3 linked regions of the Drosophila melanogaster genome follow. The protein of the gene in region 2 interacts with the protein of the main gene of each other region in a pairwise test. Each region holds a gene or a part of one and is shown on either strand. Other genes may lie near its edges.

Region 1 (10,800 bases), on a different chromosome or scaffold from region 2:
CAGTCGGCGCATTTAGGCCCGCGGCAAACCGATTTTTCGCAGGTGCAACATGTCACGTAGCTGCAAAAGGTTTTCCCAGATCATTAATTGTATAATATATTCGCCAGTACCTTTCCAGGTCACTTAAAGAGATATTTATTTATGAGCTTAGAGCCATTTATGGAAATTTATTATTTAGAATGGAAGGTTTTAGTTCTCGTGGAATCTCTCGTAAAAAAAGTTATTTAAATTTAACTATACTTGTTTGCATAAATAAATTTGGTTTCTTTTTAGTTCGGTGAACAGAGCAGTAAATACCTCAACCGATGCAGGAGAAAGCAACCAATTCTTTTGCAAATTATACTTTGCAAATGTGTTTGTTCGAATTATTTATTATATGGCTATCAAGAAGCCAGACTGTTGTTCAAACAAACGAATAGATTTCGGCAGAAATGCTGATATCAGTAAGATCAACAATGTCAAACAGGTATTTCGCAATATTTCGGAGACACGAATTCTACTCACTTTTTGGCACTGCTCAGATCCAGGTCCGCACAGCAGACGTTGCAGGCGTGATCCTCGCTGCTGGACTCCTCCTTCCTCCACTTCTTATTGGCTAGTTTGCTGGAAGAGACAAGGCGGAAGGAAGCGCGCGTTATTTCGAGAATGTTGGATGGTGATGGAAACAAGACGATTAGTCAGGTCGTTTCTGGCGATTAGCTGGGGTTATTCAACGGCCAGAAGGTCATTGGCTGAAACTCAGCTCAATTAGTCGGTAGCCATTGATCGTGCTACTTCTGGCTTTTGGACCGACGACCACCACTTCCCCCGGCAACTAAATAGTGGGCAGTCCCCACCCAAACGCAATTGCATGGGGCAATTGACTTTCTCCCGGCTGTTAAATCCCGCCAATTGCATAACAACGCAAACCCGTTGGACCAGGCAAACAAAAAGGCAATGAGGCTTCGAACCGAGTTTAATCAACTTAGGCGAAATGGCCTGGCTTAAAGTATACATACATGTAGCTCTATCACAAACAACTTACAATCTAAGAGGCAGTGCGTCTGTCTGCCTCGATATGCATTCGGATTATGTCAGTCACTTACAGTTCTTACACAAGAGAGAAGAAGGGAATTCCTGGGTGTCTTGTACGTGCTCGAAATGAGAAATCGCCAAGCGGATTGCTGCTCAACTTATTCAAATGGCAAAATTCGCAATTTCGCTTACAAACAAACAAATATAATTTAAGGAAAAAGCCAACCGTATACGGTCATCGAAAACATTACGCTTGCGAAAGATTCAAATAACTTGCACAGGCTGTCGAAAGCGATTGAAAACACAAGGTGTGTAGGAGAGATGCTCAGTCAGTATAGCCGCTTAAAACCGATCTAATTAAAAATATACACTTATATTCTAGCCTAAGTCTTCTATGTGGGCAGATGCTGCTGCTGCTGTTGGTGCTGTTGCTGCTGTCGCTGTCGATGGAATCGCATCCTCCTGCGCGCCCAGTACTCATAGTTGTTCTCCAGATTCTCATAGTAGATCTGCTCCTCCCCATCCGGGCCCCCGTTCTCCTCCCAATCCTCGGCGGGCGGTCCGAGCACCGGATCAGTGCTGGTCAACTTGAGCAGCACCACTTCCATGGTGCAGGCCATGAAGAGGAAGCCCAGCACCGCGAAGCTGATGGGCAGGCACATCAGCCGCTCCACCTGGCACAACACCACCGCGGAGAAGAGCATTCTCCCTGGAACTCGATCGACAGCTGGATCTGTAGTGGATTCTCTGCCGTGTGGTGTGGTGTGGGGGGCTGTTCTCCAGGTGTCGGGATCGGGTTTTCAGGTATTCAAAATGTTTGTCGACTGATTAGCGCCGGTGGGCTTGCTGGGATTTGGCATGGCACTCGCGTTGAACCGATTTCGCCAATGGAAGCACTTAATGCCAATTCGCTATCAAATCGCGATCCGCGTCCCACGACACTGACAACTTTCTCGCACAAGGTTCGCCTTTGTTATGCGCAGTTGGCTTTGAGAGTCGGCGGTCAACAGCTGAGATCGGGTCTCTATGGCTCCACATAGCCAGAGCTATGGAGCTGTGGCCTCTCCACAGAACCACACTGGCACAGCCACAGCCGTATCCCATGCCGGTTTCGATCGTGGAGAGCGGGAAACCACTGCCTCTCTCTCTCTCTCTCTAGCGCTAAACAAACTCGTCAATGACGTAAGTTGGAGTCCCCCTGCCCACGATCCCGTCGGACGGGTCGACATGTGTATGTGGCGGATTGGAAGCAATGACTGCGCACATTTCCATGCAGATTTATCGCCTTTCTTCTCCGATCACTGTGGTCCGATCAGATCCAATCCGATCTGATCCAAGAGCTGGAAACCTGGTCGAACAGGAACCGTTTTGGAGGAGATATACATACGTGGTCGAAGATCATCGAGCATCATCGCCTGTCTGCTGCATTCATTTGTCGACTAATTTATTTTTGGCCTGAACTTCATTAATTTCCAAATGCTAATTGTGAGAAACATTCCGCAAACGAGTTGGCTTGGTTCTTGTCTGGCAAAATACTATGTATATAATGTATGCATGCTGTGAGCGGTTTATTAACTAATCAATCGACTTCTAGCTGGATTCGAGTTTTAATCACTATTTTGGCAACAAATGGCGCCACGGTGTTGCCGCTACACTTTCATCGGCATAAAGCCCGGGGAACTTTTCGAGCTGCGATCTCATGCCTTAAGATTTCGAGATTCCCTAGAAATCTGTGCTGGGAATCTGGGTTAATATATGTATGATGTATGTATGTGAGTCTCATGTGTCCGCCATTAGCATATTCCCGCACAAGAAAGCGTCAAGCCATCAGGTTGTGTCAGGTTATTAATATCCCAACAGGGCCAGAAGCTTTCACAAATGCTCCTCTGATAGCATAATCTACAGAATTTCCCAGAACTTCGAGCCGGAGATTAATAAATTCTTGGTAGAAGCGAGCAAGTGGCATCGTAAATTGTTTTATTGATATGAGTGTAATAATCTTTTGATTATCTCCGAGTTTACTATCCGGCTTTCGTGAGATCATCATTGACCGTATCTAAATGGATTCATGAATTATCTTGAATATCTTAATTCACCTGGCCAAATCTTAAATTTATTTAAATTCAAATAAAACTCATATGCCTAAAAGCATGCTTTATTACGTAGAAAACGATTTTCAACAGCCTTAACCATAAGCAAACTCGAAAACAATACTGCTCAATAGTAAGTAAATAATATCGCATTAGTTTAAACATTTTCCACAACTTGTTATTGTTCTCACAATTGGTTTTGAAAGCACTAAAAATATTTCGTTTTGCGGCTTTTCACTTGCCACAAGGCCAAGATAACTGGTTTCTTCTCACTTTAATGGCGAATAAAACCCAGAATTTCTGTGCATATCTAAACTCTGCCATCGGCCAGAGTTAATTGCATTTGGCTGACTTTCCACAGTTCCACAACTCGTTTGGCTTCATAGAATGTCGTTCATAAAATGTCGTCTTTAAGACCCGGAAATTAATAAGTGAATTATAAGCGAACTGAAAGCTCGTATGTAGAAAATGGTACTCATATAAACTTTATTATTCTGTTTATGTTTTTAATCTTTTCCTTGCTTAAATATATAAAGAAATTGTGCCTCAAAGATATGCATTACTCAGAGCCTTATAGTTTCGATACGCATATTACCCTAATACACTGAAAAATGATGTGTAACTGCCGTCGCTATAATAATACAAATAATGCTGTCAACAAAGCGGCTAATTAAGATGCCATTGAAAAGGTGACGAAAGGCCAACAATTGAGGGGCGTTGTTAGCCATGGCCAATTGTTATTGCCAATTTGTGACGCTTTTTAAGGAAAAAGCAGCTGGCGGCGGGTGGGCGGTGGAAAGTTGTGCCCTTTGTTGGCCAACGACTTCCGCTGGCCATTCTTCGAGGTTCTATCGTTCTTGTGGACGGATTCGCGAAGAGTCAATGACAGCTCGTCTGGGTCTGGACTGGCAATGTTATGAAACGTCTAACGGACCGGCAGGCCATCGCCGAGACACAACAGGTGCTGCATAAATTGGAGGCAGGTGGCGGAGATTGCGCAATCCTTAATTAAGGCGACGCTACGCACTCGATGCCCAAAGTGAGCAGTTGCATCGCCATCCCGGTCGACGGGGCAAGTAACAAATGGCAAATGGTAGCTGGTGGAAAACGGCGACTGGAGAAATGGCAACAATTATGTCAAATCTCTTCAGCTCGGCCATTTCCCACACGCAAACGCAATCAACTCATGCGAAACGATGGCCACGTAACCGGGTTGAAGTTGCAGTCAAGAAAGTTTAGTTTCAGTTTCTATTCGGATTTATCTCGCGCTGCATTTGTATCTGCAGCATACAAAGTGCACGTGCGGATGCGGAGCTTAGCTCACGTAGTCGAACTTGTATCCATCGGATGCTATATTTTGATTTATCTCCCATTTGATTAACTCACCCCAAGAGCTGCTGGGCGCCACACTGCAGCAGATAGGCGCCTCCAATGAGACCCACCACGGAGGTGAGTCCCAGCAGCAGGTTCCCGCTTCCAGGTCGGTTGATTGGCAGCTCCATGAGGCAGATGTAGGGGCGCATCCAGCGCTTCAGGCACTGCGGAGTTCGCATTGAATTCAATTACGCTATCGATTTCGCGGCATTTGCATCAGAAGCACACGCACACACACACTTATCGGAAGCAGCTCTGATTTAATTCCACCTCGATTGAAAACCCTAACTATACTGAATCAATGAAATATCCGGAACAATACTACACCAAACTATTTTTTACTACTTATCAGAGCCGAACATTCTTCATTTGCGGCTATCATCTCTTTGTGGACATTTTACGTGGTTTTCGGCCAATACATACTTTGGCCTTAGCCTTATCAAAAGTTTTGTTTGTTCGATTTAAATTGCCTAGATTTCGACATGAAGTTGTATGGGTAAATATACCCTGAGCAGGGCATTTAAGTTTCGGTTATTAAGTTGAATAGAAAATTGGTAAACCAGTAATACAATTAGTTCCCAGCGAAAATATCACGTAAATAAATATTTTTAGGTACAACTCAGTGCAATTGGTCACATTTGAAGTCGTGACCATTAGTGATAAATAATTTTCAGCATAATGCAAAGAAGGATAAATGAAATTGTTGTCATAAATCACTTAAAGAACATTATTCATTTAAGTATGCAAATCTCGTAGTTTAGATGCAATCACTTGAGAGAAGTTTAGAAAAAACTTTGTCTGCAGTTCGAATCACGTACTAGCAGTTATTTATACGTTAATTTAATTGCCTAAGTGTTTTCCTTTGTGTTTATTTTTGCACATTGCGATTAGCACTAATTAAACTTGATAAATGTCTGTATGTGTTTTTTTGCAAAGCTCCTATCGACATTTTTGCTTTTTTTCATCGAGATCTTCTATAGAAGTTGGCAGTTGCATAATCTCCTTTGGTTTTGCATTTTTTTATTTACAAAAATTATAGCATCAGTTGTGTGTGTGTGTGGTTCTAAGAATGATGTATTTTAATTATCGTGCTATTCACTTCAGTTGGCATTAAAGATGTGGGTTTTATTTATAAATTTGTTTGGTTTTTTTGTAATATTTTGGGAGTGGAATCTTCCCACTGAACCGAAATGAACTTCACTGGCGAAATATCTGAATAAATAATTACCACAAATTTCGCTTGTCTTGTTATTTCTGTTTGCAGTTACGAACGACGATTATCAATCACTTTTCGGGCAATATGTTTCTCAGGTGCTTGCCACACGAACTCAGTCCGCTAATTGCCATCGCCCGCCCGCCGATCACCTTGCTCCATCTTCAAAAAGCCCAAACCGTCGACAGCGTTAACAATCCCGACTGCATGACGCACAAATTGAAACAAAACATACAACAAACTGATTAGGATCACGTGGATAAGGGCCCCCCGTGCCAACGATCTTCAAGTTAAGTTAACTTGGCGATTGGAGCAGCTGACTCCGACTGCGAGTGGAGCGGCGACAGGTTTGTTTTAGCCAAGTTGAATTCGGTTTTGTTTACTTTTTTGCACAATATATAACTGGGGTATATGGGCATTATATTGGATTTTGTTTGCCCACTTCGTTATGGCGGATCGCGTATATAGCCGACCGACCGACCGACCGACCGACCGTTGATTTGATAAGAGTTCCGCTCGCGTCCAGAGATATATAAATATATATATCTCGGTATGCGACGAAAAAGTCGCAGATAAGTGTCAAGACTATTTCGGGTGTGAGGTCACAAACGGGTGTACACTCTTTCCAATTGTGTTGAATCTACGGCCAAATGTTTCCAGGGTTTTAAATTTTTTTTTAAATTTTTTGTGGTTTTTTTTTAGGATTTGTGTGCGTTGCGGGCGAGTAACCAAATTGGAACTGGCCCTTATTGGCGCACTGGGTCAGAGCTTTGTTGGCCATGCAACTGAGGGGGTGGGGGTGGGTGGGTGTTGGCGGGTAAATCCCCATTGAGCCGCAGAAATATGGACACTTATGACCCACCCACCCCGTCCACTATTCTCTGGCATTCCACGTTGTCCAACGGACCTTATGCAAATGCAATTGCATATGCCACTTGGCAGCTGCCAGTCACATGTCCGCCGCTTGGAGGATGGTGGCAAGAGTTTGTGGCCAAAAGAAAAACCTACGAAATCGATTGGCCCTGCCATTGGGCATGCAAAGCTTACGGCAATTAATTGCCATTAATCAACTTAATTATGAAACATTCGATAAGATTGCCACTCCGCTCCTCGGGCATCGAAGCTCGTGTGGAAAACGAAATTATCATGGAATGGGCCATACATTTGGGTGCTCCACAATCTAACCAGTCGATTCCGGAATGCTCTATTCGTATTTATAATTCTATAAAACTCTATCCTGAAATATTATAAAAAAAAAACAATGAAGAGACTCCAACTTGTTTCTCTATCAATAACATAGTTATATAAGTTTATGTAGCATAATTATCCAACTATAAAGTGTATCTTTCCTCACACTGAAAACAGACAACAATATAGTTCAAAGAGGTTTTCCAATTACAATCGCCGAACTGGGTTGGTCCTCATTATCATTCTAATGGAACTTCCCCGCCACAGTTTCCCAACCAAATTGCAAACTCATTCGAAAGCTCGGTGGTCAGAGGCAGCGGGTTTCTCCATGACAATTGTCTAAAAAAGAGTTCCCAGAAGACTCCGACTGCTCACGGAAAGATTTCTGGCTGTACGAATGACATGGCTGAGTGACTGACTAACTGACTAACTGCACCCGAGATTTTGTCATTTCCATTTTGAGGCCGGCAAATTTGCATAAATTGATATCCGCCTGCAGTCTGCGAAATGCAGATGCATACACCCAGAGCAGTTTGCCGTAAGATTGTGGGCTCCATGCGCACCCAAGTCGGCTCAGGCCAATCCCCCAGCTGCCTGTGGCTTCCGTTCTGGCCACATGGCACAGTCCAACTTCCACAGCTTCAAGTTGTTGTCAATCAAATTGAAAACATCGAATTGAATGATGGAAATAAATATATATGTATATGCCCTCTGATATTAAATTGGATCGAATGAATGCTTCAGAAGATTGAAAATCTGGCACTCACCTTAATCTATCGCGCAGCTGCTGGTGGGTGAGTTGATCCCGCTGCAACACCTGGAGGATCCGTTGGCACTGGTGCAGTCGCTGGCGCCTCCTCAAGGTCGGCGACTCCGCCTCGAGCACCGCAATTCCGCTGTCCACGCTGGAGTTCAGCTGCTGTTGCTGGATGGGATCGGGATGGGGACTGCTCCCCTGGCTGTTGCTGGTGTTGCATCCTACTGGCGATGTTTCTGCTGGCACTTCACCTGCCATGTTGCTGCTGCTGTCGCCGCTGGGCGGTGTGTGGTGTGTGTGTATGTCGGTTGCTTGTGAATCGGGAGCGGCCCTAGGCCATTTCCATTTCCGCACTCAGTGTCTCATGCAGGCACTGTTTTCCATTCACGCACATGAAAGAAACACTTTTGGCAAACAAATTCGCCTCACTGCTGCTTTTGGTTTGTTTGTTTTTTTTGTTTAGCGCGTTTTTGTGTGTTAATTACGCGCCAGTTACGAGCATTGTTTTGTTACTGGAAGCGAGCACTGCCGCACTGCCTCCACTTGGGCCACCGAAAATAAAAGTCGCTTACGGAGCAGCTTATCAGCCGGCGCGATACACAAATTCAAGACTTCCCCTACGGGGTGCTGGTACTGCTGCTGGTATGGTGTGCGTGTGTGTATGTGTGTGCCTGGGAGCGTTTGCTTTCGTTCTGCAATCAAAGGAATTTTGGTTTATTTTTACGGCAGAGACCCATAAACAAATGCGACGGCAGATAACGAACCCCCGCCCAGCTGCAGATAACCTGGAATCTGGCGATGCCTCATCGCTACGCATCTCAAAAAGCTCCCCCCAAATATCCGCGTTGGTCTGTCACCTTCCACTTCATGATATTCATGAGATACATTTGTATCTCAGTGTGTTGCTGCACCCAAAGTGAAATGTGCACTTATAGCCGCAGTTCGCACGCCCAAATATGCTAATTTCTGGCACGTAATTACGCAGAGTGCTGCGATTCGCATCGATTCGGGGCGGGTTAACCCATTTGGCTGGCATTGGGTTAAGTGGCTCAGCGGCTCATCTTGGAAAAAGCCGAAGGCCCCAGGCTCCCAAAAACTATTTGGCAAATCTAAAGGCAAGCGAAACTGGCCGAAACCGAAATGCGCACACAGCACAAATTGGAAAAAGAGAAATTCTCGGCCAGCAGGCAGCATTTCTGCTCTTGGCCAACTAAATGGCAGACTTGAAACGCTGACAGTACGTCTGCCGAAGTATCTATGGATGGACAGATACGTGGATAGATGGATAGATGGATGGCCGGAGCAGCAACGCACTTGTTGTTCGGTTTCCAGACTGTTCGTTGTTCATTTTCAGTGCTCAGCGATTGTTGATGGTTTCGGACAAGGGAAACAAAAAGTGGTGGCCTGCGGGCCGCCAAAGTCATTTCTTTGGAGTTTCGAGTGAAACCCGGCTGGATGTGTGGAAATTCTCCGAATGGGATTTGCTGCGGATTCGAAAGATAGGCTAGGCTGTGCAACAGCATGATATGCAGTTCCCCAAACAATGCGGCAATTAAAAGTGCATTTGCATGCATACCAAAACTAAATCCGGCGTTTTGCATATCATTTTCGTTGAGGTTGGTCAACTGAAATTGATTTCCATTTCAAGTGTGTTACCCAATATGCATCAGATTTACCTGCACATATACATAGACATATGTATGTATGTATCTGGTGTGCCTGTTTTTGTATCTGCAAGTTGGATTTGTGCAATTTTCACACAATTGTTTGCGGCATTCGCATGGCATGTCGAATTAAGTTGTTACACTAACTAATCTGATGATTAATTAGACAACAATTTCAGATGCAATTGGGTCGCCGGCAAATGGGTCAACTCCATCCGGAGAACTGGCTAGAAGGCTGTGCTCAAGCTTCGCTGGCCTGATGATGGCTCAATTAATTATGACAGCTCATTTGTACAGAGGGAAAAAAATGTGTTAACTTTCCCATTGACATAAAAGTGCTGCATATATAAATTCAAGGCAAGTAAGTATAAGTATAAGTATAGTATAAGTGTACTGTTAAGCCTCAAAGATTTTCATGAGTAAGACCTTTGTGGCATCAATTGATTTCTATGAGACGACAGTAAATTAAGCCATCTTCACTGGTATTTGGGACGAAAGTGGACCAAGTCGGACACTATTTTCCCTCAGTGCACATTTGCAAATATTTGAAGGGAAACTATTTATCAAGCTGCGGGTGAGGAGCGGGTGACCCGCAGTCAGAGTAGCGCTTACTAACGGTTTCACACTCTCTTCCCGGTCAACTTTAATAGCCATGCCCCACACATGGACCCATATATATGTACATATATACATACATATATTGGAGCCACAGGGCGCAACCGCAACTGCCGATTCATTGGGAAATTAGTCAAAGCAATTCCACGCCAATGATGCGTTTTGTGGAGTTTCTTTTTGTGGTGAACTGAGCTGCTGCCACCACACACACCACCCCCCCCCCCCTCCAACGGGGGGTGCCTCTTGCCCCTGGGGGCTGCAACAACAATCTGCTTAAATGAACGGAAGTTGGCAGTGAGACGCCGCCAGTCGCTGGTTAATACTGTTAACCGATGCTGTCCGATTGGTTTTGGTTATCTCAGTTTTCTCATTTTTCCCTCTGTTACTTGCTCACTTTTGTTCGTTTTCAATTTACGGGTGAAATGTCTGTTATTTAATTTTTTTTTTTTTTTTTTTTGTTTGTAAAAGTTGTTTTCACAGCCGTGGCTAACTAGAAAATAACGAACAAACATATTGAAGCACACACGCAGAAAATCAATGGCAACGGAAGTGCAACCTGTGGCCATTCCTCACAATCGGGGGTTGCACAGGGTTCGAGCCAAGTGCACGCTAACTACAGTGGTCAATCGAGAGAGCGAACTGCATATTTAAGTGAACGTTCGAGTCTGTCCATAGCCACATGCATACTAGAAAGTGGAGGGTACACTTCACATATATTAATTATAGATATTCCATAGGTTCACTTCACCATTTGTTCATTATAAGCTCATTTACTTCTTTACTTAAGTTCATTTAGTGAGTAATTATCTGCGTCATTTATTTTGTTTTCTTAGTACAATCGTCCACTCAGTAAGTTGTTGATAAAGAATAACAGTTTTAGCAATT
Region 2 (10,800 bases):
AGCTTGGAGTGCTGACCTGCCGTTGTGGCCTTTTCCCTGCCCAGTGTGGCGGATTTCTGTTTGTCGGGTGTTTTGCTGCGTGACAAAAAGTTCCATCGCTTCTTGCGTTTTAAGTCTTTGCTGGCCGCCGATGAGGACGTGGTGTCCAGCGTTGAGTTGAACATGGAGGATGTGGAAGCTGATGTGTTGGCAGAAAGATTCATGGCACTGAACTGCTGTTGCAGCGTGTCTCCGGCCGGCGTGATCATGTCGACCGTCGACGACTTGTTTAGGCTTGCTGTTGAGCGATGTTGTCGTGGCGGAGGTGTGGCTCCCATATCTGGCGCTGCACTGGCGGCTCGATTGGTCCGCTTAGGAGCCTGCGGTTCCAGGAACAGCAGCTCCGTGCTTGCTGCTCGGTCTGCGCCGTACTTCTTTATGTTTCCATCGTCGGGTGGAGAATTGACAGTTACAGTAACTACGTTGTTGGAGCTGGCGTTTCGAGCAGCTGGAACAGGGACAACGCCTGGGGCGGACTGTATGGAGGAAGCTCTTTGACGCATAGCCTCAGTATTTGCGGCACCACTGCTGCCACCAGAGGCTCTCTGTGGCAGGGGTACATTCTCGTAGATGGGCTCGATGGAACCGTTCACCAAGCTCCTCTGTAGTGGCGCCGGTGTCGCCGATTTATGGGACGAAGCAACCACCGGCGGTGGAAGCGGGCTGCTCGCTGGCGGGGGCACAGAACTACGATATCCACTCGGCGGCAGGGTAGGTGAACTGCAAGATCGTAGCGAAAAGTATTGTTATATTGTTTATTTTACGACTTCATTACACTTACCTCTGCGTTACCACAGATCCGGCAGCTGCAGCTGCTGCCTGACTCATCGCTGACTGTCGCAGCTGGGACATTATAGACGGCTGCTCCTCGATCATGTTGAGGTTCTCGAAGGTGCCGTGCGGGGGCAGATAGGGCTGCGAGTGCCCCATGTGGCTCACGTACTGGTACTGGTGCAACATGGTGGCTCCGGAAGATGTTGGAATATTTCCGGCATGTCCGCCTGCGGGCAGAGCAACGTACTGACCGCCATTGAAGAGCGTGCGGTTAGAGACTAGATCCGGCGAGGAGCCGCTTACGTAGTTGCGGAAACCCTGAAGGGGACGGGGAGTGGCCACGGCCAGATCGGGCGTGGAGGAGGAACTCAGCCGATTGACATACGGCGGTGGGGCCTTGTGACGCATCATATGCATGCGCTGCGAGAGCTCTAGGTATGCCTGGGCGGGGCTCATGGGCTGTGGATGTGACTGCGGTTGATGCTGTGCCTGGTACAGGTTGATGTGGTGGTGTAGGGCAGCCGCCGGCTGGGCCACGTCCGGATAACGATGCGCAGTCATATGACCATACAGTAAGTTCTCGTTGTGCATGCCTGGATTGTGTACATCAGGCTGGGAGCCCGCATAGTAGGCATTTCCGGGCGCGGCCATTGCCAGTGCCACATTGTGGAATTCCGCCGATGGTGTGCGGTACTTTAGTTGGACCGCCGTCTCATAGTCTGGTGCCGGGCGGTATGTGGGCAGCATGGCTTTGAGGCGCTCCCGCTCATCGTTGTTATTGTTGTTGTTGCTGCCTCCGTGGTGCAACATGCCACTGCTGCTGTGCAGGTTGTTGTTGCTCAAATCCAGGCAGGAGCTGCTTTGTCCCAACATCTGGTTAGCGCTGGTAGCCAGCGAAATGTTGGAGGAAATCATCTGCTGCTGCTGAATCTGTTGCTGCTGCTGCATATGTTGCTGCTGCTGATGATGCTGTTGCAGTTGCTCGGCGGCCGCCGCTTCATTGTAATCGTAGTCGACATAACCAACGCTGTCAACGCCCAACGGACCACTCTCCGCATCCGCACCACTTCCCAGGCTCGAGGGCGTGGCCGTGTCAATATAGCGCTTGAAAAACTTATGCTGGCTAATGGTGAGCTTCCAGAAGTAACGTGCCGTGTCCGCCTCGCTGAATATAAAGCTTCCCACGATGCTGCCGCCACCATCCAGCTTGTTCTGCTCGATCTTAATCGTTCGCTTGTCGATGGTCACCGTGTGGAACTCCTTCCATGGAAAATACTGCCGACCGTTGTCCGCGTTCACCACCATCCCGTTGATGGCCAGGCCCAGCAACAAATCATTGCCGAGCGTGTCCTTGGCGGCGAAACGTTCCTCCCCATACCCCTCCAGCTGCTGGCAGCACTGTATGTACATCTCCTCCGCCTGGCTCTGACTCAGATGTGCAATGCCCGCCTGCTGCTGCAGGACCTCCACGATCAGTCCCTCCAGCATGCTGTCATCGTTGGCCAGGCCTTGCATGTTGCGCGGCAGGACCAGCGACTTCTTCAGATAGTCCTTGCTCTGTTTGTCGCCCTGGTAGCTATCGTACTCCGCCTGGCGGCAGTAGAGCGCCAGCAGTATGGCCGTGCGGATGTCACAGGCGATGCGGCCCTCGTAGATGTCGCTCTTCAGCTGCAGAAAGTAGTAAAAGCGCGTGGCTTCGTCGCTCAAGTGGCGCACGCCAGTGGTCACGTAGTGGCGAACGCGCAAGTAGATCTTGGGGCCCGCCGCATACTTCTCCAGCTGCCGACTGAGCGAGCGCTCCAGGTCGATCCATTTGAACTCGTCCTCCTTGTCCTTGCCCTTGACCAGGTAGCGCAGTCCAAAGAACTCCGGCTGCTGGATTAGCAAACGTTGGCAAACGTTGTCCAGGCACTCCTGTCCCTTGCTCTCCGAGCTGATCGTGCAGTCCACTGTGCTGGATGTGTCTGCAATGTAGGTAAGAGTGAAAACGTGCTTCAAACATCGGCCTAAGTCGCTCCAAGCACTCTAAATTCGCCGCACAACAACAATTTGGCCCTGCCCGTCGCACGCGCAAATATGCAAATAAAGTTTATAATCTCTTTCGAGACCTTATACGTTTTATGGACGGAAATTGTGGCGGCGCCGCTCAATTGGCTTCTCTCATCTGTCGTATTTCCTAACTAACGAAACGTAGGCCTAATGTCTAAAACCTTTCTGATGGTTGGAGAAATTTGGGTGGTTTTAATTGAGTCAAGGTCTTCAGTTCGCTTGCCAAATAAGTACATTCGGTTAAGTGTATAAGAACTACAAAACATGCTTTTGTTTAGCCCAAAATCGAGAGTAAATAATATACAAAATGTGAAGTACGCAAAGTTAGGAAGTTCTCATAGGCAGTCTGTTAGTTTTAGAATTAACGGTCGCTGTTATGTGTCCTGTGCGCCTCTGTTAACTCAGCGACTGTTAACTAGAATGCAACAAGTGAAGGCATTTTTGTGGTCTGTGCCTTGGAAGGCGAATTCCAGCTAAACTGGAAGTGGGCGCCGCATGACAATCGTTGTGCACATTCCCAATTAAATAATCCCAATTGCAATGGCAGACGGCAGCTGTTAAGTTGTGGCTTTGTCACCGATTTCTTGTTGTTTCTATTGTCTCGTCTCCACTGTTGCTATTGCTGTTGTTGTTGTTGTCGTTGCTGTCGCTGTTGTTGTTGTGGGGGGCGTAGCGCCTCTAGGAATGTGGGGCTTACTCACCCAGCAGGTGATGCACTGATATAACAAACAAACTCTTGGACGTAACATTGTACTGGCGACACTTTTTCAAGAATTTCAATGGCATTTTTCGACTATTTTGCTCCACCGGGGCTCCGCTGGGCTCACAAAAGTGGCTAAAACGGCAGCACCATCGACACCACAGGTTTTTTTTGGGGGAGTAAATTGCTCAATTGGAATTAGCCGATTTGAATCAGCTGATTAGACACGCAAACCAGAGCACTGCGCGTATTGGTTAAGTAAAGTTAAAGATAGTAATTGGGCAGTTAACGACAATAAATAAAGGAATTCACGAGAAATAAAACGAAGAGACCGAAGTGCTGATATCGATACGCAGGTGCTGACTGAGTATCTCGGTGGCTGGCATCGAATGGATCGATAGGCGGCATTGACTATCGGTATGTCTTTGCGCAGTGGGCTGCAAGAAAATAGGTTTAGTTCTGTTAAAGAAAACAAGTGCAACCAAGAAATATGTAACTGAAACAAAACAGTTTATATTTTAAAATATATAACAATGCAGTCAGCAGTGATTAAATAAAATTCCTAAAGATATTAAAACCACTGATACACACGAATACTTCGTTGTACACAGCAAGAGAATAACGGTTTCTAGCGAACAGTAAAATATCAAACTTAACAGAGCTACTGGACACATAGGTGGCGTGCTGGCATAGCTCTGTTATCCGTTCCAACTCCAGTGCTGGAAAGTGCGCGCAACTGAGAAATCCACACCGCGATTCGACGACGGTCCCTCTGGAATTCAGTAATTTAGTACTGCTGCTGCCGTGGTAGTCGTCACTTCCCCTTTGCACTTGCCGCCCTCCGTCAACGTTTTATCGAATAAAGCGAATTAAAATTAAGATCGTGGCTTCGCCCCGCTGCGTAACTGAATAAAGCGAATTTAAATCAAGGGCTTTGACGTCTGCCAAGCTGCTGAGAGGGGCTGCAACAGGAAGAGCACCAGAGACGGGGCACAAATCCACATCCACATCCACCGATCGTCGTCTATCTACAGAGGATTAGGAGCAGCGCAGTCGGAGATCGCGATCGGTGAGTTTCGAGGAGCCGAATCACAAGGCCACGCACTGTCGAAATCCAAAAAGCAAAACCCGATTACCAAAATCGAAATCCAGTCCATAATTAATTTGCTGCTTAGATATTTCGAGCGCTGCATTGGCGGTCAAGGTTGCAGCGACGAGGACAGATGATGGAGCAACCGTATCGCTCACTCGCTCGCTCACACACACACACACACACAGAAGAGCCCTGCGAGCGAGTTTAAAGTTCAGTACCTGTTGCTGCGCTCGCCCAGTCTCCCTCTCCCTCTCGCTCTCGCACAGCCTCGCCGCCGCCCGTGCGATAGTGCGCTCTCGCTCACTCCGTCCGCGCTGCGTGTAATTTAATTTAATTCACTTCTGTTATTAATTTGCGCTATTTGCACGCTGTATCGCCGCCTTTCACGTCTCAAACCGAGTCGTAGGCCGAATTGCATAACCAAAAACGCGACTCGGGTCGCCAATCGGCCATCAAGTTACTTTTCTGCTCGTGGCTCTCCGCTGAGAACAGCTGTCGACTGTCTGCTTCCCGTACAGTAAGCACTCGATATGAGCGACGAAGCTATGTTCTTAATTTCCGTTAACCTGCCTTTCCTTATTCAAAAAATCAACATTTGAAAATCCTAAGTACACCAACTTTACACATTTTCCAATTGGAGTTGGCGTTGCATTTAGTTTCCAATTTATTAAAAACAATTTGTGAAAAAAGCCAACCGATATATTGTTTTATGCTAATTAAACACACACACATTAATGACGATGTAAACAAAATCCTAGTATCAAAATTTACTACAACGAAATTGAAAGTGGCTTAGTTCGAAAAGCCGAAGTGTGTATACTCTTGCTGCCTTGTATAACTGAACTCTGTAAAATCGTTCCATTTTGAAAGAACTAAGAACTTAGTAGGAGATACTGCAAGTCTAGGTATGTACGTACATACATATTTACATATATATAAATCAGTTAAAATATAAAAATTGTACATTGTTGTACACTTCCTAAGAACTTTTATGGATAAAAATTAGTTCTCTGAAATTCAAGTTCAAAGACAAACTAAATAAATATATTATATTATATGTTATGACACCCCATTATAGGGTTACCTACCTATTAAAGCTAGACTATTAGTTCTTCCAATTAAAGAACCATTAAAAGGGCAGGTTCCGTAATGGGATTACATTTAATGGACTTCGGTTAAAGTGAGCGCGGAGTTACATTTCATCCTTTCCAGACAGCCAAACTAGGTTTATGATAACGAAAGCCACTTGGGCGCGAAATAAATATGCATAGTCATGCTTACTTTATAATTCTCCGTCGATTCGGACGAGTAATTCGAGAGTGTCATCGTGTTTAGGGAATTTTAAAATCACATATGCCAAGCGAGATTCTAAGCGTTATCACGCACATTACAAGTGTGTAGGGTGATACTAGATGGGCGTTTGTTGTGACTAGATCGTAAACTTTGTTTGAATAGATGGCTAAGCAGAAATAACCAAGATCATTCATCTCATTCATTTAGATTAACTACTTAGTCGTAAACTAGAAAAAGAAGCACTCAAATAAAGAGTGTTTTTGGAGGAAACATATACACATTTGAACGAGTTAGGATCTATTGTTTCGTAAAAAAAACTAAAGAAACCGAATTTATGTTAACATTTTTGGAACATTTGTTGGTTTTCGTGATATATATGTGTGCTTCCTAACACAATTTAATCATTGCGCTGTCGTCATTCCGTCAATCGAACAGCACACATGGGTGACCTATAAAAAGACGCCAATTTTATGTTCACCTCCACTTGTTGTCAGTGTTGGTTGTTATCGGGAGCGTCGAACACATACCTTCCTCGAAATCGGACGAGAATGACGATACTGGCGTCGATTTGCATATGCCTCGCATGTGTTTAATATTTATTTTCTGCCTTTTGCTGACCACAGCAACAAGAACTATTACGCGACTCTATACAAAGTTCACGCACGTAGCGGCGCATTAGCAACATTAAAGCATTAAGTCAAACCCGAATTCAAGGTGAAAATTCAGTAGAGCTCCTTAAGCCCCCACAAAACAAAAGATAACACCTGGGATCAGCTCAAACTTCCAACTGCTTAAGTTGAGAGTTCTAGTAAAAATGCTTTCGGCACTAGTTAAAACTCAAAGCAGTCGGGGCGAATTTCATTGAACTCCAAGTGTGCATTTCAAAACCCAAACTCTAGCTTAAGTAAACCCTCTCAATTTGCATTTCCTATGCTTTTTTTTATAAATTCGGGTAAAGAAACGTATACAAACCGTATATGTACATTAAAATCTTTAAGTACTTCATAAACTGAATCCTAATGAAAGGGAATGTATTTTGTTTGGGATGATTTTAATCCGATTTCACATTGACAAGTACCAAAGCCTTTGCTTAGTGCAATTGGCGATTTCCTGGAACAACGGCTGGTAAAGGTGTTAATCGAGTGATTGGAAATCAAATTTCGTTATTTTGCGCCGCTCAAAGAGTATTTGCTTGGGAACAGCGCATTTCGAACGCTTTTACTCGTTTTCATCATATCTCTCGACCGGCGACGGCATTCGATAAGCGCGTGCATAAAACCTGTTGCTCCCGGCGGTCAGTGAGCAGTGCTCCCTAACGCGAAACACACGTTGCGTCGCCACAGAGGCGGATCCAATCGAATTCATAGCTTTAATTGCACCAGTGCAGCACTGCAAGTGATCGACGGAGTAGTCGTAGTTGTCAGTGCAACGGGAACGTCCCAAGGTACGATCGATTAAAACCAGATGCGCGATTTCAATGTCAACCGGCGGCGCTGGCGGAACATCCAGCTAGAGCGGTACCTTGCACCGCTAAGACAAGTGCGGAAGCGGACGGACTACCGTTAGACGCACAGGCGATGCTACGCCGCCAGCGCTGGTATACGTGGAATACATTAGAGTGCGTGTCCAAAGTGCGCGACATGCAAATGGAGCTAGACCAATGTTATGCAAAGCGAAAACTAAAGCGCCGTGAATTCTGTGCCCTTTTTTTGCAGTCATACACGTACCACCATGGCCAGCGAGCAAACGATTGATGGAGCAGCCGCAATTCCCAGCGGCGGCGGCGACGAACCCTTCCTGGGACTGCTGGACGTGGCCCTATTGGCGGTGCTAATCGGCGGCGCAGCCTTCTACTTCCTGCGTAGCCGCAAGAAGGAGGAGGAGCCAACCAGGAGCTATTCCATACAGTAAGTATAGTTAAATTTGAGCAATCTAAAGCAATCTAATCCGAAGTCCAAAACCATGGCAATTCTTGAATTGAATAGTCAGTTTCTTGATAAACCTTTCAAAAAACATGCATATCACGCGTACAATTCAATATTTAAAACTGCTTCTTGAATGAAATGCCCTCTAGATCTATTCGGTTCATTCCGTCACAGATCCATATGTTCCGCCGATTTGTTGGAATCGATCGGCCATTATTTGACGCTGAATGATTCACACATCGCAAATGAATGTGTGAATACCATTGTGTGATTCATTCGTTGATCTGAGTGTTTACCTGCGTGTTAAGATAAGATTCAAATTTGGCTGAGATTTTAACGCATATCTTTACCTTCTTCAGACCCACCACAGTGTGCACCACCAGTGCGTCGGACAATTCGTTCATCAAGAAGCTCAAGGCATCCGGACGCAGTCTGGTCGTCTTCTATGGCTCACAGACCGGAACCGGCGAGGAGTTCGCCGGCCGTCTGGCCAAGGAGGGCATTCGTTACCGTCTGAAGGGCATGGTTGCCGATCCCGAGGAATGCGACATGGAGGAGCTGCTGCAGCTGAAGGACATCGACAACTCGCTGGCGGTCTTTTGCCTGGCCACCTACGGCGAGGGAGATCCCACTGACAACGCCATGGAGTTCTACGAGTGGATCACCAGCGGCGATGTCGATCTGAGCGGGCTAAATTATGCGGTGAGTACGAGCGATATCACACGGAACGGTCTTATCTGCATGCATACTGATTACACGAGTCCCCCTCGCCAAACACGGAGTCCGTTCCTCTTATCAAAACATTGTGCCACTGATAAGTGATTTTTATTCCACGCCCAATCGCAATTTTGGCTATCTCCCCGTATTTTTGCGCTTTGAGTTGTTTGTTGTGTTTTAATACAGCTGATGTAAGCGGAACGAAAACATTTGAAATGGCATTGGCGGATCCTAATTAACAGATAGGCTGTAACCTGATAGTGTAGCGCGCACGGAAGAGTTTGTTTTTGATAATAAACCTACTATTATTACTCCCCATCTCCCAAATGCCAGCAGTTCAGCGTAGACAAATTGATAGAAATCTAATCGTTTCTTGGTAGCCTTGGAGGTGTCATACACCTTAGTTTCGTTGACTTTTAAACAACGTTAAATATAGCATATTTTATTGTTGCCGACAGTCCAACTGGTAGTAAACCAAAAAGGAGTTCTATATTATCAACCTTATCAGTTGCCCAATTCGAATTCCCCGCCAAACTAGCAGCTCAAAAATGCGTCGTTCAGGTTCGCGCGCCGTAGCAGTCGGCTTTTGACTGGCAGCAGTCGCACGGAATTTTTAGTTGCTTCTTGAAAAACAATGTGCTCAATGTCGATCTCTGTTCTTGCGCAATTTGTTTACAATTGCCGTGGAAATTCTGCGGTTCAATCCAGCAAATGTCGGCCGGAAAATGCAGAGCTCGATCGCCACATCTGCCCACCTGTTCGTCAGGTTCCGCCAGCAAAAGCTGTTGAATTTGCTCAGCATTTTGAATAGTTTACGTAACAGAACAGCTGTCGCGAAAAGAAAAATTGAATGGAAGGTAGTATGAAGTTCAGTTCTACAATCAATCATAGTTCAAACTATTAAACTGATAAGTGATAACACTCAAACTTATTATGAGTCTCATTAAAAAAGATGGCTTAGTTGTTCATTCGTGCTCTGAAATTCGCGTTCCTAAGATGCATCATGTATTTTAAGTAGTTAAGTTAACTGAATTCCATTCTATAGTTACTAAATCCACTCTTATCTGATTCCAGGTCTTTGGCTTGGGCAACAAGACCTATGAGCACTACAACAAGGTGGCCATCTATGTGGACAAGCGACTGGAGGAGCTGGGCGCCAACCGGGTCTTTGAACTGGGACTGGGCGACGATGATGCCAAGTAAGTGATGAAGGTGTAGCCAACAATGTGAACCATACTCAAGTGATACTTCCCCAAAAGCATCGAGGATGACTTCATCACGTGGAAGGATCGCTTCTGGCCCGCCGTGTGCGATCACTTCGGCATCGAGGGCGGCGGCGAGGAAGTGCTCATCCGCCAGTACCGTTTGCTAGAACAGCCAGATGTGCAGCCTGACCGCATTTACACGGGAGAGATCGCCCGCCTGCACTCGATTCAGAACCAGCGCCCGCCCTTCGACGCCAAGAACCCATTCCTGGCCCCCATCAAGGTGAACCGCGAGCTGCACAAGGGCGGTGGCCGCTCCTGCATGCACATTGAGCTGAGCATCGAGGGTTCCAAGATGCGCTACGATGCCGGAGATCATGTGGCCATGTTCCCTGTTAACGACAAGAGTCTGGTGGAGAAGCTCGGCCAGCTGTGCAACGCCGATCTGGATACTGTGTTCTCGCTGATCAACACCGATACGGACAGCAGCAAGAAGCACCCATTCCCTTGCCCCACTACGTACCGCACCGCTCTGACCCACTACCTGGAAATTACGGCCATACCCCGCACACACATCCTCAAGGAGCTCGCTGAGTATTGTACTGACGAGAAGGAGAAGGAGTTGCTGCGCAGCATGGCCTCCATCAGTCCCGAAGGTAAGAAATTATTCACAAGACTTATTACTGCTGTACCAGTAACAGGAACTCCCACGAACATATACTAATGAATGTTGCATTGCAGGAAAGGAGAAATACCAGAGCTGGATCCAAGACGCCTGTCGCAACATCGTCCACATTCTGGAGGACATCAAATCCTGTCGCCCACCCATCGATCACGTTTGCGAGCTGCTGCCCCGCTTGCAGCCTCGTTACTACTCCATCTCGTCGTCTGCTAAGCTGCACCCCACTGATGTCCACGTTACAGCCGTTCTCGTGGAGTACAAGACGCCGACGGGACGCATCAACAAGGGCGTAGCCACCACATATCTGAAGAACAAGCAGCCGC
Region 3 (10,800 bases), on a different chromosome or scaffold from region 2:
GCAGCAGATGGCGCAACTCTTCGTTTTGGCGACGCAGAAAGACGACTTCCGCATCGTACTGCACACGCATCTTGAGCACCTCAACGTAGTGATTCAGTCCGTGCTCCAGTGTCTTCCACAGCTTGCACTTGGAGGCCGGGAAGCAGGCCGAGAACTGGCGCCAGAAATTACGGATCTCCGCATCTGTAATCTGAATGAGATTTACCGCATTGAGAATGCTACCCGGTTCGTGTTCGTACATCTTTTTGTGCATCTTGGAGGTGAACAGATTCATGGCGTGCAGGCAGAGGGCCGGTTCCATGACCAGATAGTGATTGTGACATCTCTTGGCCGCCACCTCGCTCTTGGGTAGAAATGTATCCCCTGTCGACCTATGCTCCTTTTCATCCGGTTGGCCACCCGCCGCGCCCTGCAGCCGATTTGGCTTTTGATCCTTCATGAACACCTCGGCACACTTGCGTGGACTCAATCCCTGCGGCTGGCAATTCGGACAGTAGGTGTACGGCATGAAAACCTTGGTCAGTTCCTTGACATCCCGCAGATGACGAATTCGCAGCGCCGCAAATATATTGTCGATGCGTACCAGGCATTTTTCCTCCTCGGAATACGGTTCAAGAATCTTTAGCAGACGCTCCTCGATGAGGAAACCGCCGCGATCGGACAGCTTGCGAATAAGATTACGCATCAAGCGTAGTGAATCCGGCGGAAGCTCCTTGATATCCGGCTTGCAATTTACGCCCGAGTTGGGCATCACCCTGTTCTTGGGAACCCGGCCAATTCGCATGTCAAACTTCTCCAGAATGTTATTGCGCTTTTTCTTCGCCTTGTTGATGTTTGGAATGGGTGGCACGGGGCTGGACCACGGCATGGCCAACTGCTGCTCGTGTATGATGCGATCGATGTGGTAGACCCGATCCACCAGCAGGTTCAGTTCCTTGTAGTTGATCTCCCAGATGCGATCGAACTTTTCGCGATTGTTCAGCCTCGCCTGATGCGCCTTCGACTCCATATCGTTGATGTTGGAGTGCAGCTTGTAGATGTCCGAGGAAAGACGGGCTATGTTCCGCTTGCCCGTGTTGTAAAGATTCTTCAGGCCACGCCGGGTGCGTCCGATCGCCTCATGCAGTCGGGCCACCCGTCGCTTCTGCTGGTTGTTAATGATCACGTTCTCCTCGTTGCGCTTCTGGAGAACCTGATAGTTGTAGTCCAGCTTCTCGGAGTTCATCAGCACATTGTCGCGCGTGCGACGTAGCTCCAGCTCGAGCCTCTCGCACTCCTTCTCCAGCCGAATGCGAGTGCTCTTGGTCAGCTCCTCCTGGGACTCGTTGATCTGCTGGGTTTGGCGAGCATAGAATTGCTCGCGTGCCCTTACCAAATTGGCCTTCTCGTCAAAGTTGGCATTCATCGCATCGAAGAAGGTGCGCCACTTCTCCACCGCATTATCGGCGAAGATTTGACGCTCCTCCTCGATGGTTTGCCGCAGCATTTGGATGTGCTCCTTGTAGGCCTCCTTAAGCGTCTCCACCTGGTGATCAACGCGCTCCACCAGACAACAAAGATCCTGGGCCTGCCGCTCGCGATCGAACTCGTACTTGGCATTCATGCGGTCCACCTCCGCTTGGCAGGCAGATATCATCTCATCCTTGCGTGCCATAATCTCGGCAATGCGTTTCTTTTGCTCTTCGATTTGGTCCCACAACAGCATCGGCTCATTGGTCTCCTCCAGCTCCGTCCAGCGCGCCTTAATGTTCTCGAAACGGGCCATTGTCTCAACGCTTTCGCGTTGCAGCTTCACATGCATCTGATTCTTCTGCGCACCCTCGAAGAGTCGGCGATTCAGCTCCCTTCGCTCGTTGGCCACCCGGACATTGGTCACTAGTTCTTTGCCAAAGCGCACCAGTTCGTTCAATCGCTCACTGGACAACTCCAGCCGTTGATCAATCGGCGACTTCTGGGCCTGGCAACGTTCGGCGACGCCTTTCGGGGCCTCGCGGAACTGCTGACGCACCCGGTTGAGTATCGCCAGCCGGCGTTCGTCCAACTTCTTCACCGACTTGTCGCATCGCTCGTTAAAGATCAGGCCATCGATGCGGTCATTAAAGGACTCCCAACTGTCCACTGGTCCCAGATCGGGCTCCACCTCCTCCTCCTCCTCGACACTGCCGTCGCTGACCAGCTCCTGGTGCTCCTCCAGCTCATCCTCGTTGTCGTCCATTGTTTAAAATATATGCCAGGTCGAGATTTGGATGAGAATCGCTTTGTTGTGCGGAATTTCTGAAGGCAACTCTGCTCCAAATCAAGGTGGTTTGTTGTGTGACTGGAGAAGTTTGATCGAAGGATCCCGGGTTCCCTTGGTTTCGTGGTCATTGCCCATTTCGCCTACTTTTCCGGTAGAAACAAAAATGTTGTCTTTACGTTTGTTTACTTCTGTTGTCAGTGGTGCCCGCCCCATTAGTGTTGCAAAACAAGAGAAGTGCAGGCTTAAGCAAATATACATGATCTTTTTTTTTAATAAAAAGTGTCTCATGACTGCTTTACCATATTTTGTCAATAATAATTAACAATAAATCATTGAATAATACGTATTTAATACATAAAAGTCTATTTAGTTTTGAAATTAGTTCATCTCCACCCGAAATAATCGTTATCGAAATGGAGCAATAAGTGCTGTAGCTAAAGTTATTTCCTTCTCACTTCCTCCTGCTGTATAGCCCGTGCTGACGTCACCGGGGCCTTGCTAAATGCAAAATGAGTGGAAAATTCCATTGCCAAAACCGCAATGACCCCTTGGTACAACCAAAAGGCGCGATGTTTGACCCCTTGGTTGCAATCAACAGTCCGAACTTGATGCCCTTTAAAATACAGCCCTGCGGATTTGTACACACTGGGTTGCATTCGACCAAAAAACTTGGTACTGCCATTCAAAAACAAAGTCAAGCGAATGAATTCTTTACATGATAGTATTTAATTGCGACCTATATATGTACAAAATTTGCGCGGAGTTGCGGCACTCAGTTATCCTCAGTCTTCAAGGTGATTTCATATATCAGCTCGTCGTTGTAGTCCTGCCCTCGGCCATGATGCTGCTGATGCTGCTGGTGATGCTGTTGGACAGCGTTAAAGTACTGATCCTCGGTTAGCAGCTCATCTAAATCCTCACCGCCATCCTCTGCGTCCACTGCGTTCTCCACCAGCAGGTGCTGGTCATCGTAATCCGATAGCTGCACATACTGTTGCTCGCTCTCGTCCAAATATTGGCGATTGGACGGCGAACCCTGCTCCTCTGGTTGATTGTCCTCAACCAACAGGCCGTCATCCTCGTCGTACTCCTCCTGCAGTGGGCCCATGCCGTCGTAATCGTCGTCCTGGCCATTCATATTGCGACCGGAAATGGATTCCGAATCGGATCCTTCACGATTCCCATCCGCATTCACAAAGCGACGCGTATTGCTACGGCACTGAATCGAACGCTTGTGGGCATCGAAGTAGCTGATGTCGGTGAACTCCTCCTGGCACAAATGGCACACGTATGTGCCCTGGCTCAGATGCATCTCCTTACGATGACGGGCCATCTTGTGAGCATCGCGACACTGCATGCCACAGAATGGGCATTTGAGCATCCGCCGCTTGCCCATGTGAACATTGCGGATGTGCTCCTGCAGAGAGAAATTCTTGTAGTAGGCCTTCTGGCAGTACTCGCACTGGAATCGCCGCTTCTTCTCGTGCGTCGCCTCGCGATGCCGCTTCAGCTGGGTATTCTGGGCGAACGTCTTGCCGCACACTTCGCAAATATGCTCCTTCTCCAGATGTCGGCGCTGATTGTGCACGCGCAGATCCTGCTTGGTCGAAAAGTATAGGGTGCACAGTTCGCAGACGTATGGACGGATGCCCATGTGGCGCCGCGCATGTCCGGCCAGGTACTTGCAGTCGCGATACGTTTCCGTGCAGTAAATGCAAGCATAGCGATTGGTGCCAGGCACCAGATGGGTCTTGTGGTGCTTGGACAGCTTTGATTTGTGCATCACATCTGGGCAAATGCCGCACTCCACCGGCAGCTTCTCGTCCATGATGTCGCTGATCATGGAGAACTCCACAAGGGGTGTGCTATCCTCGTCAAAGTCCACAATGGTGGCTATCAGGTCGTCGAAAAGCATGTAGCGACGCGGTCCCTTGAACTCCTCCAGCATCTTTTCGCTTGGCTTCACCTCCTTCACGCTACCATCATCGTCGTCGTTGTTTTTTTGGCTGACAAAGCTACGTAAGGCGATCTGGCGGGCAGAATTTCTAGCTTTGCTAGCGGGCTGGACAACAGGCGACGGCGGCCTTGGTGGCGATGGTGGCAGCGAGGGTGACGACGGTGGATACATATCCAGATCCTCTTCCACCCTTTCGTTATCGCGCGGATGGCCGTAGCTAGGTTCGTGCTCGTAGTCGCCGTAGTCGCCATAGTCCGCCTCCTGTTCCATCTCCGGTTCCACCTCCACCAAATCCCCCACTTCGCTCATATCCAATTCCCTGACCACAAATTGCGGCATCTGTTCGTCATCCGTCAAATCCTTCACCCGGGAGCCCACTATAAAGTCGCGCAGCTCCTTGCTCATCAGCATCTCCTTCTCCACGCCGTTCTCATTGACGATGATGATGTCCTCTTCGAACTCGTTGCCCAGGTTGTCCAGAAGCACGTAGGTGGCATCATCGCTAGTGTTAATCACACGAACGTTTCCACGGTTGTCTTCGTCCGAGTAATCGCTATTGGCCGGCAGGACGAATTCGATTACCTCGTTCGCAAGGCAGCGTTTGTGGCTCATCCTGGTCACATCAACTGAATTAATTAATTAATTCGCACGACTGCCGAAAAAAAACGTAAAAAGTTGCAAGTGTGACCAGTCGCAGGTTGCTGGCCGAAACTAACTATCGGATACCAGGTATCGATGCAATTTTCAACAAAATACTCGCTTTGTAGAAATGCTTGCTTCCTTCCGCTTTCATACATCGACTCACTCTGCGTAGATCATAGATCATGAAAATCCAACATTTTGAGCTGTAAATGCCACTCGATTTGAAACTTTATTACAAATTCAACGAGGTATGACATTCCATATATCGACCAATATTAATTTTGTTTCGATCAAATAACTGCTACTTTTTGAAAAGAAAAACGAAAATTCGAGAAATGCGAATACATCTATTCGAATTTCGATCATTGCCTGTGTGAAACGTGTATTTTCTTTACTAAAATATATATAATAAATAAATTAAATATTGTGCCGATGAATAGATCGCAAAATATCGATACATGCGCATTATCGATAACGCGCAATTTGAATAGGTGCTTGCGCGCCAAAAAAAAACATCGCTGGGCATGCGCGACGTCGGCCAACGTCTTTTGCCGCTTTTGGCCCCTTCCCTCATTGTTGTTGTTGCTGTACTGACTGTTTTGCGGTCTGCGCTCGCGACTAACTTGGCTAACTTCTGGACTCGGAATTGGCCCGGTGCATTGCATCTGCACACTCGGTGGCGCGCGCTTGTCTTCTTGAGACTTCTTCAATCCAAAACGGGCGTGTTTCGCGATCTCATCCACTTGTTCAATAGCAGTTAGTGTTTTGTTTTTTTTTTTACGGTGTTTACTGTTTCTGTTCGTTGAGAGCGTGCGAAGTGCGCGCATGCGTAGTAGCTGATAATTAACCAATTTGAAAATTGCGGTTCTTCTGCTTTTTTTCGCAATTCAAATTGACCGCATAATTGCGCAAGGAATGTGATTTTTTTTACTGTTTATAATATAAGTGTTATAGAAAAAGAGAAGAAGCTCAACGCGAAATCTTAAAGAATGCTAAAATTGGGATGATGAAAGGATATTAAATTCGTTCTAAAAGGTAAGAATAATATCAGTTATACATAAAAAAAAAAAACTATGTCAAGTTACAGTAAAAACAAATGGTTAAAAAAATATCACACTTAGATTTAAAGAACTTATCTGTGCGATTTAGAATAAGGACCAACTGAAAGGATCGTATAAGTTTATTGACAAAAAAACATCTATACAATTGTAACCACACATGTTATATTGAATAATATCTCAGTATATTAATTTGTAAGATTAAGGACTAAGGACATAAGCCCTATGATTTTGAAATAACTCAAAACGAGTGAAGGGCACCGTCACTTCGAAAGATACAAATACATACATACTTGTATATTTAGTTTTTAAGTAGAGTCCAAGTTATATTGTTAATTGGGCTGATTACAATGCCCAGTCAAGTTAATAAGAGATGGGAATCACAAATACAAATAGAGAGCACAATAAGCGAATAACCAACCATACTAGCTGCCAGCTAGTAACATCACAAAATAGGATTACGCAAAGTTGCAAACGCATTATGTTGATGTTGATTTAAGCTTCGGTGTTTGCCTTTATCGCATCTATTTATTTATTTATTTGTTCGCCGTGCTGCAACATCTTTAGCCCGGTAGCCCCATGGCTCCATAGCTCCATTGCTTTATAGACTCCATCCAATCAAACAAATATGGGACAAACTTGACCCGCTTTCGTCGCGGATTTGGCATCACATCGCATCGCATGGCATCGAAAATGGGCAGGGAAGGGCTACCCCAGATTGGCCTCTCGTTTATTTGGCCATTAAAAATTACATAAAGTGACAGCGTTGTGCCCCTTTCCCTTTTTCTATTAGCCCTACAATTGATTAAAATCATCAATATTGCTAGCTATACCTTTAAATAGTTATTTAACAATTGAAGTACAAAATTTCCAGTTTAGTTAACCCATTTAAACACGAAAGCCCAGCAGCAACAAGTACACACCATGCCCCCCCCCCCCCCCCCGTAATTACTTGACCCAAAATCATCGCTATGCTATGTATGCAACTAATGCATTTCCATTTCGCAGACAAGATTCTCGAACTTGGACTGGGAGTAGGCCAATTAAGAGTTAGCCACGCGGCCGCACGAACAGGTGTCGTCGCTTCCAACACAGCAACATCTAGTGACAGCAGCAGCAACATCCAAAGACAGCAGCAACAAGTGGCATCATTATCGTTTTGCGGTTTTGATCATCGGCGGGGCGGTTTGCCGTTGCCACTGGTAGAAAACGGGAAATCGGAAACATGTTCTCCTCCAGCGCCTCGGCCGCGTCCACATCCTTCAATCTCGGCCAGCTGCTGCCATTGGCCATCGCCATCGGAGTGTTGCATCTGCCGCAGTTTCTGTGTCATGCTGCCTGGACAACCAGAACGCCGGAAAGTTTCATTAACGATACGACCACCACCACCACCACCACCACCACCACCACAACCAAGACCATGCAAATCCAGGCGATGCAGGTGAACTGCAGCCGGGAGCTGCTCGAGATGCATCTGGAGTTGAGCCGTCCCTTTCGCGGATTACTCTACGCCAAGGACTTTCCGCTGGAGTGTCGCGCACGTGGCAAGGACTCGACGCGTCTGCATCTGCGCATCCCAACATCGGGTTGCGGAGTGAGGGCAGAGCCACTGGAGGACGGCAGTCTGGAGTATACGGTGCGTGTGATGCTGCAAAAGGAGCAGAAGTTGCGCCAGAGCACCGACATCCTTAGCTCGGTGAGATGCCAACTTCCGGCCAATGCGATGGGCATGCCACTTCCGGTGTTGCGACAGGAAAAGGGTCACGATAGGTAATTCTACAAATGCTTTAGTTAATGTAACAAGATGGAGAAGTTCTTTTATGATTCGATATATATATATATATATATGTAGAAATGCCAGGATGCGAGCCTTGGCAGCTGCTGCTGCAGTTCCAGCTCTCGGCGCCACTTCGTCCATCAATCAACAGCAGCGGGAGACGCCACGCGTTAGGATCTGGTTAGAATTGGGCGGTCCCAATGGCACCGGATCCGTGGAGGTGGGCGTCGCCACCACGCTGACGGTGAGAGCCATCGTGCCCGGAAACATCGGAGTGCGGGTGGTGGACTGTGCGGCACTCGATGGACTGGGCGAATCCACGCAGCAATTACTCGATGCCCGCGGCTGTCCCATCGACGAGCAGGTGAGTGAAGCGATCAGCTGAAGCTATCTATCTATATGCATATGCATATATATATGGACGTATCTGGTGGATCGTTCATTTGCGTAACAGGTGCCGGCGGCGCGACATTCTACGCCAGACCAGACCGTTAGAAACTTAACTTGGATGCGACGAGACGAACGGAAAGTCATTAATTAGCCACGATCTCGATGCTGTGGGGCGATCTGCGATTGATCGCATTTAACTTTCATTTTTATGTGCGACATCTAGAGGGTATCAATCTAGAGGGTATATCGGGCCAATCGATGGGAAAAACAAGTGGGAAAAACAATCCATTCACAAAGTTCGCTTAAGTTCATCTGCCAAATGATTTAAGCTGCCAGAACTAAAGTATTTCCAAAATTTTAAAAAGAAATATCATAAAATAGTTTTCAGTCGCATCAACTTCACATACCCTGTAAATTTCTATGGGTTGCGTTTTAGAAACGTTTTAAGTGCATTTTGAAGACGACGAAAATGTAAAACAAAAGCAATTTGATTTTCGATTCTTTGCCACTGATTTCTTGATTGCTGCGAAAGGGAAATCCAAATAGATGGGACAACCTATTGATTGGAAGTCTTTCTTGGGATATTTTGCCGCCAAACAAAAAAAGATACATTATCAAAACTAAGCCTGGCTCATTAAGTGTAACAGTTATTACAGCACCGACCATAAATGTGAGGCAAACGGCAGCAAAACCGAAACTGTTAGCCATAATTACGCGATCATCGTTAGAACAGTTTTCGTTGCCCAGCCAACCAGGCCCAAAAGAACTTAACTCAACTCGACTCGACTCGACTCGAATCCACTGAGATTGGCCCAAACGATTAGGTAAAGTGGGAAAATGGGAAAAATGCGAAGAACAAGCAAAGTGTTCTAGGGGTTCCCTCGACTCTCCAGCGCCTCAAATCTCAGGTTCTTCTTGAGTAAATTAGGAGGTCACAACAATTAGCCAACAGTGAAATACATAGAAATATTTATCGTTTAGCATTTTGACATGCCCCTGTTGCGGTTGCCACATCTTCCTTTACCCGCCGCCACCTAACCATTTAGTCGCTGCACAGTGGAACTTACAGCGAATAAAAGTGATACTAGGAAGTGTGGGTTCAATTCGAATTATTCGTGTTTGCTCGAAAAAATGCATATGCCACATTTTAATATCATTTAATAGTAAATATGTGAGAAATACCTTTTTATATACAAGATTTTGTTATATGTTTTTATGTATGTATATCCTACAAGCAGTTAATCAGATTTTTTTCTTTTTTAAGCTAATTAATAATAATAATTTAATTTTATAATTTAAAATTATCAAACAAGTAATTTATTTAGTAAATTATGCAAATATTCCTTGAAGCTATGATGCACATATTTGTGCATGCTGCTCTGCGACGATTGGGCCCACTGTGCGACAGTGGCCAATGCCATTGCCAGGCATTTGCATTTCGGTCGCCGGCCGTCGCAGCTTTGTGCACATGTCATTCATCCATTCACGACCAGGCGGCCTTAAATGGGTCAAACAAATCTCCGGCTGACGGCTTTGCTACTTCTTTGTGTTGTTGGTGGTCAGGGCAGCGCTAGAAAAATCACACGGCTTAATTTCTGTTTTATTTTAACGGAACGGGCTAGAAGACACATAGTATATATTTATATGTGCATACATACATGCAAACAAACATGCAAACATACATACAAACCCACGAAGAAAACCATTTGCATTTTATGTTTGTTTTATTGTTCAGCTCTTGGCGGCTGTCTTCCGTTTTAGCACATTTCATTTTCTTTCGCGTTGGTTTATTGTTTTATTTTTCTGTGCCTTTTTTTTTCTACTTTTTTTCTTTTCATCTATTATTTTGCTCTTTACCTCTTCATCAAGTCGCTCCAGTGCGATTGCAAATTTATGCGCGCACCCATCACAGGTTGATTTGTTTGGTTAAGAAACACTTCTGGGTCAGAGCGTGGAGGAAAAGTGAAATAAAAACCGCGTCTTTTGTCTGCAAACGGCGCCGATGATGGTGACCCACATTTCGCCATGGAAGCTCTAGAACATGACCCACTGTGCAGGTGGCGTACCGTTAAAAGGGTGAAGAAACCTAAACTATAGTTACTGATCCCACACAAGGTTATCTATTTGCATGAAACTACCATCCATTGCATCTATCGATTAACCCTGAATCCTGTCGATTATTTCGATTAATCCATTTAAGTGTTGGCAATCACCGCGTTATCCCTGTCTTCTTTTTCACGGGAGGAAGCATTTGGCTGTTGTTACATTTGCATTCGTACAATCTTTCTGCACGTGAACTCATTTGAACTTCCGCAACAATTTGCTTTTTCTCGTTATTGTCTCGGATTTCGCATTCACATCCACCCGCACATTGAAAAAACACGTGCTTGGGCGTGTAAATTGAAACTGTGGTACGCCATCTAAGCCAATCAACGTGCCTTGGATGCAATACTACGATTCGCACATACCCTCTTTGGATATATGTACTATAATCAACTTATATCAATCTTGAACTCTCAGCAGCTATCAAAGATCAGATGCAAATAGTATCTGTAGATATTCCATTTATTCGTATGTTTGTATCATATCAGTTAGGGTATTTTCGCATTCGTTTTTCCGGCTTGAACCCTTTTTTGCTTTAGTTACCACCAACAATGGCGAGATGTAAATCGCAGCGTCTTGTAATTCCATACATCTGTTTCCAGCGATCGCACATGCATCATACCATTCACATGTA

What was found.
Region 1: the proteins of Pez (region 2) and M7BP interact in a two-hybrid assay, tested with the Drosophila melanogaster proteins (one large-scale study listed by BioGRID).
Region 3: the proteins of Pez (region 2) and CG2116 interact in a two-hybrid assay, tested with the Drosophila melanogaster proteins (one large-scale study listed by BioGRID).

The regions. Positions count from the first base shown.
Region 1 is NT_033778.4:7,624,019-7,634,818, reverse strand, and holds the start of M7BP (Myosin-7a binding protein), read right to left. Parts: upstream 6,019-10,800; 5' UTR 5,707-6,018; intron 4,643-5,706; 5' UTR 4,628-4,642; coding exon 4,491-4,627; intron 3,325-4,490; exon of another isoform or gene 1,719-3,324; coding exon of another isoform or gene 1,407-1,718; exon of another isoform or gene 604-1,406; coding exon 505-603; intron 467-504; exon of another isoform or gene 61-466; coding exon 1-60. Other genes in the region: CG43341 (uncharacterized protein), read right to left, coding at 1,407-1,718.
Region 2 is NT_033779.5:6,334,495-6,345,294, forward strand, and holds the start of Pez (Pez), read right to left. Parts: upstream 4,178-10,800; 5' UTR 4,154-4,177; intron 4,000-4,153; 5' UTR 3,649-3,999; coding exon 3,564-3,648; intron 2,778-3,563; coding exon 821-2,777; intron 760-820; coding exon 1-759. Other genes in the region: Cpr (cytochrome P450 reductase), read left to right, coding at 7,680-7,855, 8,233-8,575, 9,665-9,789, 9,850-10,451, 10,537-10,800.
Region 3 is NC_004354.4:8,123,927-8,134,726, reverse strand, and holds CG2116 (uncharacterized protein), read right to left. Parts: upstream 4,916-10,800; 5' UTR 4,809-4,915; coding exon 3,012-4,808; 3' UTR 2,944-3,011; downstream 1-2,943. Other genes in the region: CG10958 (uncharacterized protein), read right to left, coding at 1-2,215; cyr (cypher), read left to right, coding at 7,122-7,666, 7,749-8,037.